Saccharomyces cerevisiae S288C: one gene and its partners. Changing the gene in region 1 together with any one later gene gives a genetic interaction. Each region holds a gene or a part of one and is shown in the gene's direction. Other genes may lie near its edges. The genes, in order: IMA1, ERP4 and YTA12.

Region 1 (5,580 bases):
GCTAGCTTCCATGCTAGTATCCTAATCCAATGCCGGGAAAATGAGATGTCTATGTAACCGTTAGACCATGGCTCTATTTCCGAGGAAGTTGTGTGGAGTTCGTTCCATATCTTTTTCAATGACTCTTCAGTGCAAGAAGCATCTGTAGAGTCAGCGGCTAAAGCATCGAAGAAACATTTTCCTGGTACAGTAAATACCCTAATCATTTCAAGGAAACTGTCCATAGAAAGCTGAGGATCAGTTACAAGTTCAAGTTGCGGTGGTGCTATTGTGGCATCCAGGCTCGTCGCACAATGAAGATATATGGCATAGTATCTCTCCGTCATGAGAAGCAAGTAATAAAGTTTCCGTCTAAGTTGCTGTTCTTCAAATGTAAGGGATCCGTAAGTTTCTTCCCGATGTAACCCTGCTACCGTAATCAGACCGACCGCTTCACAACAGAGTCTGTAAGAAGTTCTTGCGTTCGATATTTGTGCAAAGCTACGATGCAAACAGTAGTACGTCATAATATTGAATATATTGCTGTTATCCAAATCGTCAAATTGCTGACACGATGAGATGCAAAGATTAGATAACTGTTTTCCCGTGAAAGTGACTTCCTCTTCAGATTTTATTTCAGTTTGTAAATCACTGAGGGTGGCCGCTGATAAAGCGGTCAGAAACCAATATACGTAATTGTCATTGTATTTTTCCTCCAGAAGTTTGTGAAGGTCATCGTACGAAAGAAGGGGCCAGATTACGTATAAATTATCGTGATAGAGCCGCAAGCACTGATCGATTAGCTTTTTGGGAACCCTCTTATATATTACAGGAGCAGTTGCAATGGTGTTAGGACCGCTTTCCCTCTGCACTTCTGCTATTCTTTTCAAGCTCCTCAACCTAATGGACTTCGGACCTCTTTTTCTCGACGGTTGCAGATAAGTGCAATCCAAACTATTCTGTAGGCAACTGCTACACGGCCTTTTACCATCGCATTTCACTCGACGAATACGACAGCAGTCGCATGCCTGCTTGGCGCATGTTTGCTTAGTTAAAGTCATACTCGAAGCAAAAAAGAGTTCTGGCTAAATTTTCTACTTTTCATTTACTTTAATATATATCGAGATTATTAATTTTCTCTATCTGCGTACTTAAGTTATGAAGAATATAGCAAAATGAGTAATTATGACCGGGGATAAAGAAAACCCATTGTGCTAGCATATGGGGGCTGGTGGTGCAGGAAACCCAGGTCACCCGGACTTTATATGCCAACGTAACCTGCAGTCACCACTATTACTTGTTCAAGATTTTTATTTTGCTCTGCTTATTTCCATCTAAAATGGGAAACCTCAAGATCCGGTTGGAACGGGGCTGTATGTTTATGATTGCTCGAATCACGTTTTTCTTGTTTTTTCGTCAAGAATTCCAGTCAAGTTTTCCACCACCTTGACCCTTAAAGCATCGACTTTTGTGCTCTTGAATGTGTTTCTAAGAATACTTGTAAAGGACACCCTCTAATTTCGTGTGCACTTTTCACATATTATCAAGACAATCGTTCCTGTACTCAGATGCACTGTTACTGTAAAGACTACTATACAACAAGCGAAAAATGATGTTCGAAAACCTTTATTTCTATTTTGAAAGGCATGTGTCTCGAGGTCCTTGCTTTATTGTGGGTGGTCATGCCATTCTGTAAACCTTACGGTACTGCTCCGTCTATATCTTTGAGGTTGTTATTTCCCCACAAATATGCGTTTCTAACCGAATATTCATTCAGTCGGACCGGACAATAGCTCTTAACTGCGTTTACCGGAGTAAATATCGTAAGAATTTGCATGCGGTGAAATACAGGGAAAATAAGAAATTACACCCTAATACAAAAAGAAAACTAAGTTTCACAATACGTAAGGATATTTTAGTGGGGAGAATATTTCGGAGAATAAAGTTTCCAACTCCGCGGTGTGAACAACCGCTCAGCACGCAGCGTTATTCTCGAGAAAAGTGGCCCTGAAATAAGGAAATAAAGTTACTAATGTTTTTTCGCTGTACGATATCAAATGTGACGAAGTAGGCACCCCACGCTATAAATTGGCTACTAAAGTTTATGTCAGTACTTGGGATCGTTGAAATACTCGGATAAATTATGTTCCTTATTTTTCATGGTTTTCGTCATACCACAGTTTACCCCAGAATGAGAAAGGATCTCCTTTTGAAATAAAAAGTACTTAAGGGCAATGATATTGAGTTGCTAGACGTTTGGTTAGACGCCTGTTTTGAAATAAAAAAGCTGTCTCAAATTAATCGAGCAAGCACAGATCAAACAAGATACAAACAAAGCTTTTCAACGTAATATTTACTATCGATGACTATTTCTTCTGCACATCCAGAGACAGAACCAAAGTGGTGGAAAGAGGCCACGTTCTATCAAATTTACCCAGCAAGTTTCAAAGACTCTAATGACGATGGCTGGGGTGACATGAAAGGGATTGCCTCCAAGCTGGAGTACATCAAAGAGCTTGGTGCCGATGCCATTTGGATCTCACCATTCTACGACTCGCCACAAGATGATATGGGTTACGATATTGCCAACTACGAAAAGGTCTGGCCAACATATGGTACGAATGAAGACTGCTTTGCCTTGATCGAAAAGACACATAAGCTTGGTATGAAATTTATCACCGACTTGGTCATCAATCACTGTTCCAGCGAACATGAATGGTTCAAAGAGAGCAGATCCTCGAAGACTAATCCAAAGCGTGACTGGTTCTTCTGGAGACCTCCTAAAGGTTATGACGCCGAAGGCAAGCCAATTCCTCCAAACAATTGGAAATCCTATTTTGGTGGTTCCGCATGGACCTTCGATGAAAAGACACAAGAATTCTACTTGCGTTTGTTTTGCTCCACTCAACCTGATTTGAATTGGGAGAATGAAGACTGTAGAAAGGCAATCTACGAAAGTGCCGTTGGATACTGGTTAGACCATGGTGTAGACGGCTTTAGAATTGATGTCGGAAGTTTGTACTCCAAAGTTGTAGGTTTACCAGATGCTCCTGTTGTTGACAAAAACTCGACTTGGCAATCCAGTGATCCATACACATTGAATGGACCACGTATTCACGAGTTCCATCAAGAAATGAATCAATTCATCAGAAACAGAGTGAAGGATGGCAGGGAGATTATGACAGTTGGTGAAATGCAACATGCCTCCGACGAAACTAAGAGACTTTATACGAGTGCTTCAAGACACGAACTTAGTGAGTTATTTAACTTTTCCCACACTGATGTGGGGACTTCACCTTTGTTCCGTTACAACTTGGTCCCATTTGAACTGAAGGATTGGAAGATTGCCCTTGCTGAGCTGTTCAGGTACATTAATGGTACAGATTGTTGGTCAACAATCTATCTGGAAAATCACGACCAACCTCGTTCAATTACGAGATTTGGTGACGATTCTCCCAAGAACCGTGTTATTTCTGGTAAGTTACTCTCTGTGTTGCTAAGTGCCTTGACCGGTACTCTATATGTGTATCAGGGACAAGAGCTTGGCCAAATCAATTTCAAGAACTGGCCTGTTGAAAAGTACGAGGATGTCGAAATCAGAAACAACTACAATGCCATTAAAGAAGAGCATGGGGAAAACTCAGAGGAGATGAAAAAGTTTTTAGAAGCCATTGCCCTTATCTCCAGGGACCATGCTAGAACACCTATGCAATGGTCTCGTGAGGAGCCAAATGCTGGTTTTTCTGGTCCTAGTGCTAAACCATGGTTTTACTTGAACGACTCTTTCAGAGAAGGCATTAACGTCGAAGATGAAATCAAGGATCCCAACTCGGTTTTGAACTTCTGGAAGGAGGCCTTGAAGTTTAGAAAGGCGCATAAAGACATTACTGTGTACGGATACGATTTCGAGTTTATTGATTTAGACAATAAGAAGTTGTTTAGCTTCACAAAGAAGTACAACAATAAAACATTGTTTGCGGCTTTGAACTTTAGCTCTGATGCGACAGATTTCAAGATTCCAAATGATGATTCATCGTTCAAGTTAGAGTTTGGAAACTATCCAAAGAAGGAGGTAGATGCCTCTTCCAGAACATTGAAGCCATGGGAAGGAAGAATATATATCAGCGAATGAGTATTCTCAAAGAATAATAATGATAATGTGCGAAGAAACCCTACAAAAGTGATGTTTTAGTTTGTTTTGGGTAGCTTTATGTATACATTGATATAATTTTTTTTTTGTTATACGTTCTTATGTTAATGACAGAAGAGTCGATTTTAACCAGACGAAGGCGTTGTACTGCGCCGTAGATACTTAATTTTTATGTAACACTTATGATTCAGAGATTCGCCAAGCAGACGTCATTGACATATACTGGGCACCAAAGGGCATTTGTTTAGAACTTCCAAATGGGGACATAAGGGGTCAGAAAGGAAAACGAATACATCTAACCCTATAGCTGATTGCTTCAATTTATTGGTTAGGAGAATAAAAAACTCTTTCTTTTGTCAAGCAGAACGAGAGAGGAACGCAAACCGAATGCAGGAGACTCGAAGAAAGATGCTTTCTTGACTTATATTTTTATAATTATTGGAATTGACGCTTGATCTAGTAAAGAATGAGATGGTGGCCGTATTCTGCTGACCTAAATTTAATATTTATTCTAAAAGGTCTGTTAATTTTGTACAAATCCTTGGCGAGAAGGAGAGGTGGCAAAATATTTGTGAAAATGGGAACCAATTTAATCAAATAGATGTAGCTTCTAGAAAGCCATTTTTAATGAGTTATATAGGGTCGTTGATTAGGTATCGTATCACAATGTCACAGTCTCAATGGAAAATACATCAACCATCACTCCTTCCAGTGGTAGGGAATGCTCTGCTAACATGCCTCAATTATGTGGCAACATCCTTCAAACATAGGTCATTTTCCTGCACAGTCAGCATTGTTCCCAAGGTTGTTTAACAGTGAACGGAAGAAATTTTTATCATAAAAGTCTCTAAATAAGGAACTAAGTGTGCAGAAGATGGGAATGTGTGGCTCAGTTTAATCTTCAATTCAACGTCGGATAGTACTTATTAAGGATAGCCATCTTTCTTAGTAGCCTACTCTTCTGATTCGTTTTAGTTAAGAGTGTGGAAATACTTGAATTATAGCATACAAATGGAAATGGTTAAATAGCTATACGCTCTTTCAAGTCATTGTTCTTGCTTCTGCCTTTTCCGTACAAATGTGACTATAATAGTTGCACTAGTTTAGCTTTCTCATCAGTACGAAAAATATTAAATCTCAATTAATTACTTTAGAAGGATATGATGTGGTCAATGCATCTGATCTTCTACTGACGCATTTAGGGCTTATGTGACCTAGTTATTCATTGCGAAAGCAGAACGTACTACCATTTACGAATCTGAACTTCGAATAACAACAGCAAGAGGCTCTAGGATGAAGTCTTCCCGGAAACCATTACTCCAAAGTAGGTAGCTGTGGAAAGCAGCTTCCAGATAATAGTAAATGGATAACCGTTTCTAAGCGACCTTATTTCAGTCTTGAAAATACTTACCCATTTTGCATCGATTGGGAACTGAGAACCTACAAGCCGT
Region 2 (4,422 bases), on another chromosome or scaffold:
TTAAAGTAGTAAAACTTCACCTATAACATTAGATTGCCCAACGCTGACTACTGTCTTCTAGATATGGAACTTGTTACTCCTTTCTAATAGTTTTCTTCGAAGGGCACCTTTTTTAGCATATGCGCGCAGTTTAGTTTGCAGTCGGGTAGGGCCAAAATTAGAATATCTTTTGTTACTTCCATTATCGCGGTGATCATTGCGGGCTTGTAGTGATTTGATTCGATTCATAATTTCATCCTTTTTAGACATATCAGGTTCCTGACGTGTGATTACTTGATTTTTCAATGCGTTTAATTTAACATCCAAATATTTAAAGTATAGTTTTCGTAAAATTTGTTTGTCATTGATATCTGTAAAAGTAGAGTTCACCTCCCAAGTGGAAACATCGGAAGCGTGGAAAAAGTTTGGAGTCTGTGTAGATGGTATATCTTTGTACCAGTCTCGTTTCATCATGTCAGAAATATATTTACGGGATTCGGTGTCGAGAATATCGTTCTTTTTTAAAGCAAAATCAGGTAGATGTGTAGTATTAGGATGATGGTGATAGAAATGCTTGACATTTACTTTAAATCCAACTAAGGAATTCAGGTGTTCCTCCAAAAGATTTTCGTTATATGAGCGGAGGTTTAGTAGCTCCTCTGTTAATTGTTCGTTCGAAGTATCCTTTACCAATAAAGATTTATCCTCGTACTCAGGTGACAACGGCAGGGCTACAATATTTAGCACCGGTTCGTTAAAGAAGCGGCCACTTTTGGATCGTTTTTCTTCAACTTCGGTTTTAAGCATTATTTTGCATTTTTCCCATTTCGTATTACTTGAGTTAAGTAACTGCTCAACGTGTTTCAAAATATTACTGAACAGATTCATAGACATCTTAAATTCCCTATTAGCCACCAAGCAAGCAATTTTCCTATCGTCCCTGTCATAGTGTAGAATGTAGTCCTCCTCACCATATATCCCTTTTGTGATATCATTCTTCTCCTTTAACAAACTGTCGAATTTGCTGTTATACGAAGAATGGATTATATAATCTAATTCGTCCAAAGGTAGATATTGGAATCCAAACATCTTAGAAATATTGTGGTATGCAACGAAAATACCGTCCATTTTGCCAATTCTAGCTTGCAAAGAATACTTTAGAAGGGCAGACCTGATTAGTTCAAAATATTCTCTTTCCAAAGACTCAAATTCCCCATAAACTTTATCTATCTCATATCCAGTTTGGTTGTTATTACTCTCTACATGTGATAAATCGTATCTTATGGCAGAAACTGCTCTTGTCTTCAGATCAAATACACCCGTTCCAGGTAGATTTGGGTCGTACGCGTCCAATTGAGATCTCACAATGAATTCATCTATACTAGAATAGTGATAATTTTCACTTTTTGAACTATTCTTCAGGGACTTTTCCGTTAAAAAGTCTTCAAGATAATGACCTAGTACAGAAAGCACAATCTCCCTATCCAGACTTCTATCTGAATCAATAGAACAAATGCCATTTCTCTTCTTTCTCAGAATGACTGCTGACGGAAAATATGCACTTTCTGAATAATTGCAGTTTTTTTGAGGAAAATTTTTCGATATCGAGGAATCAATGATATTCAATCTTCTGAAATTGGATAATAAATAGTGCAACTGAGAAAGTACTGATGTCATGGAACTTGATGAAGATATGTACTTTTTTCTATGTTCTTTGGCAACCTTTAACAGAGATTCATCTTTGTGGGGTGTGATGAATATTGGCTTGCTTTGTCCTTCTCCAGAGGAGTCTGTGTTCACATCTTTTTCACTTTTCTTTTCCAAATACTCTGGATTAATATTTTCCACTGCAGGGTCAAAATTATACATTCTGCTCCTATTATCTCTCAATTTTTGTAGCGACAACGGTTGGTATAACACTCTCGTTAATCCATGACCAATCCTAGGAGGCTTTTGGTTGTGTTTTTGAACACCATCTTGATTGTAACGTACTAATGCGTGCCTAATCTTCTGGACATTTATCCGAAAAGTGTATGAATTGCTATCTGAATATGTTCTGCTAGCGGGATATGTTCTCCTAGCGGGATATGTTCTCCTACCAGGATATGTTCTTCTACCAGGATACGTTCCTACCTTTGTCCGCTCCAAATACTTATCATGTCTATACTCCTTCTTTATATTTGTTTTCAGTAGATTAATCGCCTTGTCCATTTCTTCCGTATATTTTTGTCGACCTCCCTTTTCCTTGTTTCCAATGTCCTCTACAGTCGAATTTGTGTCATATATTTCATCGACCATCTCTAAAGCACTATGCAGGTCAGAACGTAGCTTGTCTGGTGTTTCTCTTCCACTAGGGGCATTTGTGAGAGCAGCGCCAAAGTGATAAATCGATCGCTGTTGATAGCTTTTAGCGGCGCTACCTATTCTGCAAGGCTCAACAGATAGACGTCTGGACAGGAATCTACAGTTGTAGAACCCCATTATCAAAACTATAAAAGTATCAGGTAGCGTTTGGCTCTTTTTTGTGCTCTCTCAAGTGCCCTGTTTATATTATATTTTTACATATTTGTTTCTTTATTAACCAACGGCATTGACGGAAACGCGCTTTATTATGGACTACTTTTTTTTCACTGTTTCCTGTTTTTTGACGTGATATACTCAAAGATGAGCGATTGACGATCTGAGAATTCTATTTGGGAACTCTTCTCTGCTTTGAAGACATTTATTTCCCAGCTGCCTTTGAAGTAGTTTCACGAGCGCTAGTGAAGTTTTTTCATAAATATATATTCCCAATCATCGCTAGGAATTATGCGCGTTTTTACTTTGATTGCGATTTTGTTTAGTTCATCTTTGTTAACACATGCATTCTCCTCTAATTATGCTCCTGTAGGCATATCATTACCTGCTTTTACCAAAGAATGTCTTTACTATGATTTATCCTCTGATAAAGATGTCCTTGTGGTCAGTTACCAAGTTTTGACAGGTGGGAATTTCGAGATAGACTTCGATATTACCGCCCCTGATGGCTCTGTTATCGTCACTGAAAGACAAAAGAAGCATTCTGATTTTCTACTGAAGTCGTTTGGTATAGGTAAGTACACTTTCTGTTTGAGTAATAACTACGGCACTTCCCCAAAGAAAGTTGAAATCACCCTCGAAAAGGAAAAGGAAATTGTTTCTTCCCATGAAAGCAAAGAGGACATAATCGCAAACAACGCCATCGAGGAAATTGATAGGAACCTGAATAAGATCACCAAAACAATGGATTATTTAAGGGCTAGAGAATGGAGAAACATGTATACTGTGAGTTCTACTGAGTCAAGATTAACATGGCTCTCATTACTAATTATGGGGGTAATGGTTGGTATCAGTATAGTGCAGGCATTAATTATTCAGTTCTTTTTTACCAGTCGCCAAAAAAACTACGTATAGGTTGCTTTTCAAGCTCTTAAAATTGTTGGATCAGCTGTGCTAAGGGGAAGGCACTTTTTTGTATCATGATCCTATTTTTTTTGTTATTTAATTATTTATGACATACCTTTATACTTTAGTTTTCAAAAATCCAATAATAGATAGGCAAGGTTTACGGAAAAGAGTGGAGTGCAAAATAAATAGAGGAAAGGCAGAAGGAAGAAGGAAAGCGAAAAGAAAAACGAAGATATATTTGGAGAAAAGTATAGAAATAATAAAATGAAGACACATCGATTGAAGTATGCTCAAATGATGAGAAAAAGAGACCTTTATCTCAGGCCACAAACAACCATTGTCCAAGTGGCTTATCTTTGCTATAGTTTTGTTCGAATATTCGGGGATTCTATCTTTGGTTTCTTCAACAAGTTGACCCCATTTACCAGTTCTTTTTTGCTCTTCATATACTGCTGCTCTTTTGAAATGTGGCATGCCCTAAACTTCCTCACTTCTTCGAGCTTGTAATGAATTGCTGTTTCACTGTATCTCGCTGTCACAATCATTTTCGTTCTCTTCATTTAATGTGTTATTCTCACTTGCTGTGTTGAAACTGTTTCTTAATTCTGGGTTTTTGATTGTGTATTGGTCCTTATCATTGTTAATCCTTAGATTTTTTACATATTCTTCAAGTTTGCTCCAATTTTCTTCACGTTGCACCTTACGCTGTTGAGTTTCTTTTACACTTGATAAGTACAATGCATTACAGTTTTCGTACAATACTGGGTTTGTTTCCAGAAAAATTTTCAATGCCTTGAATGCCATAGCATGAATTGCCCTATTCCACGAACCAGAATTGATTGCTTGCTCAACAAGCATGTAAGGGTCTGAAATGCTATCTTCGCCATTTGCTGTATCTAGCTCTAACTGAGAAGTTAATTCATATAATGCAGGAAATATAATGGGTAGGATGACTTCGGCATTTTCGATACATAAGTTTAAGAAATATTCATTATTCCAATAACTTAAAACCTTTTC
Region 3 (6,075 bases), on another chromosome or scaffold:
TCAAAAAACGATAGTCCCAGCGACACAAGCATTGTGTATGAGACCGTTATACACGATAACGATTTGAATAAACCGAAAACGGGACTGTCGGAAATCCCGAAAGAGATCTATGAAGACGTTGTTGATGAAGACGTTTTAAGGGCTATCACCGAACAACAAAATTTCGAAAAATGCAACGAATATATTTAGTATACTCAATGTAACAATATAACAAATTTTTATCTTCAAATCAAGGTAAAAAAATTCATATATTCTCACTTTCTTTTTCTTTTCTTGACTATTCATCTACATATGCATTTCACGCGTAAATAGGTTGATCTACAAACTTTGAATGAATTTTTCCATTGGCTCGTTGCCATTTACCAACGAAATGGTTTTTTTCACTGTTGCATTTGGATGTAGCAAGCTTTCCACAATAAAAGAAGCTACATCCTCCCTGTTAATGGAGTAGTTAACAGAAGCCTTCTCTTCTAATTTGTCAAGGGGTTGCAAAAGACCGGTACCTTTATTTAGTTCCAACGATCCAGGCTGTAAAATAGTGTAATCCAAATTAGAGTTTCTAACCTCACGATCAGCAGATCTCTTTGCAATATAGTATTCACGCAAACCCTTAATGTTATACCAAAAATCTCTATCCTCCGCCTTGAGCGCTGAAACAACAACGAACCTTTTGATACCAGCCTTTTCGCATGCTTCAACAACTTTGATACAGCCATCCAGATCAACCGTGAAAATTCTTTCCATTCCTTTACCACCCGCACCGGCGCTAAAGACCACGGCATCATAAGCCTTAATAGCGTCTGTGATCTCACTAACGGACGCGTTTTCTATATCTGTCAAACTAGCATCAACACCTACTTCATTCTTGAAATAATTGACTTGATCCTGTGTTCTAACAATCGCTAATGGTGTTGAGAAACTATCGTTGGCCTTCAATTGGTTTATCAATAAACGTCCAACTTTACCACTGGCACCGACAACCGCAACTTTCATAGGAGACATGGCTGTTAAGTCAATAATATATGAATACCGATGATATAACTTCAATGAATTTTTATTTGGAGGGAAAGTATCCTATTATGAGCGTCACGATGGGACTTTAAATATATATCCCTACTTCGAGTGTACCCTTACGTAATACTTGCAGCCCCTTGCTGTTGACAGCGCGATACAATTTTCGTACTAAACAATCACAGAGGTAACAGCAAAGTTTGGAAAGTACTTTTGTTGGAAAGTTATTACGGCCACTAACATTGTCTCGTCGTATTATTAAAAGCTATAACGTCGTATTTCTTTGCTCGCTTGTGTTTTGTGATACAGGAAACACACACCAACAGGTTCACCGAGGGCTGTTGTCTGTCTTTGTACTTTAACTCAAAGAACTTCTGTTTCACGATTTGTATTAATAGTTCTTGCAGGCTACTAGGCTGAATACGTTAAAATGGTTAGCAACGAATATAACCAGAAATACTTCGGGTACAATTCTGATACGTATATTTGTAGATATGTCTCGCTTGATGTTGCCAACTTTGTCAAAAATGGTAACGTATGGGCACACGGAATGTGCTAATCCTCGACTTTGCTCTTTCGTAAACCAATTTGATGCAAGTGCAGCGTGGTCTTTTGAAAGTGCATTATCTCATTGGGCGATGCGAAAACTCTGCCTACAGAAGTTCGCCGTTAGATAATTCTGATTGTAGAAAACCTACCAAAGAGAATAAACTAAAGTGTCATCTGCTAATTTATGATCTTATCGTCTGAGTGATGATGTATGTTTCTCTTTGTACGGTTCGTCTTGTGCTCATGTACGTAACATCCTCCATATGTGTGAATTATTTTGTCCGGCGTCTTGTTTGAATATCCCATCCGGACGTATTTCTTTATAGGATAACGCATGCACATATCGGTTCGTTCAATAAGAAAGTCCCTTCTGGTATTATTCGGTGTCCTGTAAGATCTATATACTAATCACCAAGCTATCTGGTGTCACATTGTGAATACATTTGTCTTTTGGTCCATTTTTCCCCATCATTTTCTCGTGAAAACGATCTCTAACTTTTGCCACTATAGTTTTAAAGGAAAGATTTTGAGCTGCCAACGAATACAATATAGCACACTCAAGAGTCTTGGCAAGCAACTTTAAAGTTAGAAAGAGTACTAATGTTGCTACTTTCTTGGTCAAGAATTGCTACTAAGGTAGTTAGAAGGCCCGTTCGCTTCCGGTCCTATTACGGCTTGACCCATATCAAGAGTTTACATACTCAATATCGGCTACTCAATAGGCTGCAAGAGAATAAGAGCGGTAACAAGAACGAGGACAATAACGAAGACGCTAAACTTAACAAAGAAATTCCCACAGACGAAGAGGTTGAAGCAATAAGAAAACAAGTAGAAAAATATATCGAACAAACTAAAAATAATACTATACCGGCTAACTGGAAAGAACAGAAACGCAAAATTGATGAAAGTATTAGGCGTTTAGAAGATGCTGTATTGAAACAAGAATCTAACAGAATTCAAGAAGAAAGAAAGGAAAAAGAGGAGGAAAATGGTCCTTCAAAAGCCAAGTCAAACAGAACAAAAGAGCAGGGCTACTTTGAAGGTAACAATAGCAGAAATATTCCACCGCCACCACCACCTCCTCCCCCAAAACCACCTCTAAATGATCCTAGTAATCCTGTATCGAAAAATGTTAACTTATTCCAGATAGGACTAACTTTTTTCCTCCTTTCGTTTTTATTGGATCTCCTCAACAGTTTGGAAGAGCAAAGTGAGATAACGTGGCAGGATTTTAGAGAGAAACTATTGGCAAAAGGTTATGTTGCGAAGTTGATTGTTGTCAACAAGTCCATGGTGAAAGTGATGTTAAATGACAACGGAAAAAACCAAGCCGACAATTACGGTCGCAACTTCTATTATTTCACAATTGGTTCAATTGATAGCTTCGAACACAAACTTCAGAAAGCACAGGACGAACTGGACATTGATAAGGATTTCAGAATACCTGTACTATATGTTCAAGAAGGCAATTGGGCTAAAGCTATGTTCCAAATTTTGCCAACTGTTTTAATGATTGCAGGTATTATTTGGTTGACAAGAAGATCGGCACAAGCAGCGGGCGGTAGCCGTGGAGGCATATTTGGTCTGAGTCGTTCTAAGGCTAAAAAATTTAACACTGAAACAGACGTTAAGATCAAGTTCAAGGACGTTGCCGGATGCGATGAGGCTAAGGAAGAAATTATGGAGTTTGTTAGCTTCTTGAAAGAACCTTCTCGTTATGAAAAAATGGGAGCTAAAATTCCTAGAGGTGCGATTCTATCTGGTCCACCAGGTACCGGTAAAACTTTGCTTGCAAAGGCAACAGCAGGTGAAGCCGGTGTTCCGTTTTATTTTGTTTCTGGTTCAGAATTTGTAGAAATGTTTGTTGGTGTTGGTGCAGCAAGAGTAAGAGATTTGTTCAAAACTGCAAGAGAAAATGCACCCTCAATTGTGTTTATTGACGAAATTGATGCTATAGGAAAAGCAAGACAAAAGGGTAATTTTTCAGGTGCCAATGATGAGAGAGAGAACACGCTAAATCAAATGTTAGTAGAAATGGATGGTTTCACTCCAGCTGACCACGTTGTTGTTTTAGCTGGTACCAATAGACCCGATATTCTCGATAAAGCATTATTAAGGCCTGGTAGATTTGACAGGCATATCAATATCGACAAGCCCGAACTTGAGGGTAGAAAAGCCATTTTTGCTGTTCATTTACATCATTTGAAACTTGCCGGGGAAATTTTTGATTTGAAAAATAGATTAGCGGCTTTGACGCCAGGCTTTTCTGGTGCTGATATTGCCAACGTTTGTAACGAGGCCGCCTTGATTGCTGCTAGAAGTGATGAAGATGCAGTAAAATTGAATCATTTTGAACAAGCTATCGAAAGAGTCATCGGTGGAGTGGAACGCAAATCCAAGCTACTCTCTCCCGAAGAGAAGAAAGTAGTGGCTTACCACGAGGCTGGTCATGCTGTATGTGGATGGTACTTAAAATACGCAGATCCTCTTCTGAAAGTCAGTATTATTCCACGTGGCCAGGGCGCCCTTGGTTATGCACAGTATTTGCCAGGTGATATCTTCTTACTAACTGAACAGCAACTTAAGGACAGAATGACCATGTCTCTGGGTGGAAGAGTTTCTGAAGAATTACATTTCCCATCAGTTACAAGTGGCGCATCTGATGACTTCAAAAAAGTTACTAGCATGGCCACGGCAATGGTCACAGAATTAGGCATGAGTGATAAAATTGGCTGGGTCAATTACCAGAAGAGAGATGATAGCGATTTGACAAAACCATTTTCGGACGAGACAGGTGACATTATTGATTCCGAAGTATACAGAATCGTCCAAGAATGCCATGACAGATGTACAAAGCTGCTTAAAGAAAAAGCAGAAGATGTAGAGAAGATTGCTCAAGTACTACTGAAAAAAGAAGTTTTGACAAGAGAAGATATGATTGATTTACTTGGTAAGCGCCCTTTCCCAGAAAGGAATGATGCTTTTGATAAGTACTTGAACGATTACGAAACGGAAAAAATCAGGAAGGAAGAAGAAAAAAACGAAAAACGTAATGAGCCTAAGCCATCTACAAACTGATTGATATTTCACAATACAAAGAAATGGAGGAAGACTGTTCTACATATCTTGCTTATTTTATTGAAAGCCAGACATCTTTCTTTTTCGGTAGAACACTGTCACGTATTTACCATATAATCTAATCTGAAAACATGTAAATATATATACGTGTATAAATGCACCTATATCTATATATGATCAAAGCGCTTCTGTGAGGCTGTCATTGGTTAATACACGCGATCTTTTTTTTATCGCTGATTCCACGGCTTAGCCTATCTTATCTTCAGTATTCGCATGATACACTTTTTCACTGCGTCGTTTTGTTGGATGATATCTGTCCGACAATAAACGTAGGTCATCTTAAGGGCCGGTGATAGAGAAGAGCATGCGGTTCCACTTTAGGCCAACCCACATTCCCAAAATATAAGAATACAGCAGCGATTTTTTTCTATCGAATTATTTTGTTTTTTGTCTCCTCTTTGTTCTTCACTAAGCTCAGAGCCCTAGTTGTTGAGGGAACAAGAAGAATGCAAACACTAGACGAGACTTCAAATCTACTCCCTCCACCTGAGGAAGCTGAAGCCCCTCCCTTGGAACAAAAATTTCATGAATATAATTTGGCCTTACCTAAGTTTCCCATTTTGTTTTCGCTATGGTTGGGTAGTTTTTTGAGTTCCTTGGATAGCACTATTGTCGCAAATATAATGAATAGAGTTGCTGAGGAATTCTCTGAATCAAGTAAAAAGCAATGGATTGCGACGAGTTTTCTTTTGACAAATACGGCTTTCCAACCACTATATGGGAAGCTTTCTGATATAACAGGGCGGAAGTCAGCATTATTAACCGCTCAATTTTTTTTTGGCCTTGGGTGCTTATTAACATGTTTTGCCAGAAACGTCACGGAATTCTCAATAGCAAGAGCCATATGTGGTATTGGTGCAGGAGGATTGAATGCTATTAGTAGCATTGCTGTTAGTGACATATGTACAGCAAGAGAAAGGGGCGTTTACCAGGGATATGCGAATATTGTTTTCGGGTTTGGTCAATTACTAGGTGCTCCGTTGGGTGGTGTATTTATAGAAACCATTGGATGGAGGGCTCTTTTTGGTATCCAAGTACCCGTGATAATGTTGTGCTCGGTATTAGCAATCAAAAACATTAATATTAAGCTATTCCATGTTCCTCCTATGAAAGAAAGATATACCTTAAAGAATCTGTCACGGATAGATATATTTGGCTCATTAAGCCTGGTGGCGACCATTAGTGGAGTTTTATTTTTGTGCTCTAGCCAGTTGAACAAGTTGTATTTAGCATTGTTTACCATTGGTAGCTTTATTGTTTTTATCCTGGTTGAACGTTATTACGCGACTGAGAAAATTTTACCATTCGAACTATTGACTCGCTCATTCTGTTTGAGCTCAGCGGTAACGGTTATATCTTCATTTGTTGTATTTGGTG

What was found.
Region 2: mutations in IMA1 (region 1) and ERP4 together harm fitness less than expected from each alone (positive genetic interaction), as found in Saccharomyces cerevisiae (one large-scale study listed by BioGRID).
Region 3: mutations in IMA1 (region 1) and YTA12 together harm fitness more than expected from each alone (negative genetic interaction), as found in Saccharomyces cerevisiae (one large-scale study listed by BioGRID).

What each region holds. Positions count from the first base shown.
Region 1 is NC_001139.9:1,065,753-1,071,332, reverse strand, and holds IMA1 (oligo-1,6-glucosidase IMA1), read left to right. Parts: upstream 1-2,341; coding exon 2,342-4,111; downstream 4,112-5,580. Other genes in the region: transcription factor MAL13, read right to left, coding at 1-1,040.
Region 2 is NC_001147.6:359,450-363,871, reverse strand, and holds ERP4 (Erp4p), read left to right. Parts: upstream 1-2,787; coding exon 2,788-3,411; downstream 3,412-4,422. Other genes in the region: PET127 (Pet127p), read right to left, coding at 58-2,460; YOR015W (uncharacterized protein), read right to left, coding at 3,520-3,879; protein phosphatase 2A regulatory subunit RTS1, read right to left, coding at 3,925-4,422. UniProt on the Saccharomyces cerevisiae protein: Involved in vesicular protein trafficking.
Region 3 is NC_001145.3:444,172-450,246, reverse strand, and holds YTA12 (m-AAA protease subunit YTA12), read left to right. Parts: upstream 1-2,160; coding exon 2,161-4,638; downstream 4,639-6,075. Other genes in the region: NPL6 (Npl6p), read left to right, coding at 1-189; YMR090W (uncharacterized protein), read right to left, coding at 319-1,002; VBA1 (Vba1p), read left to right, coding at 5,145-6,075.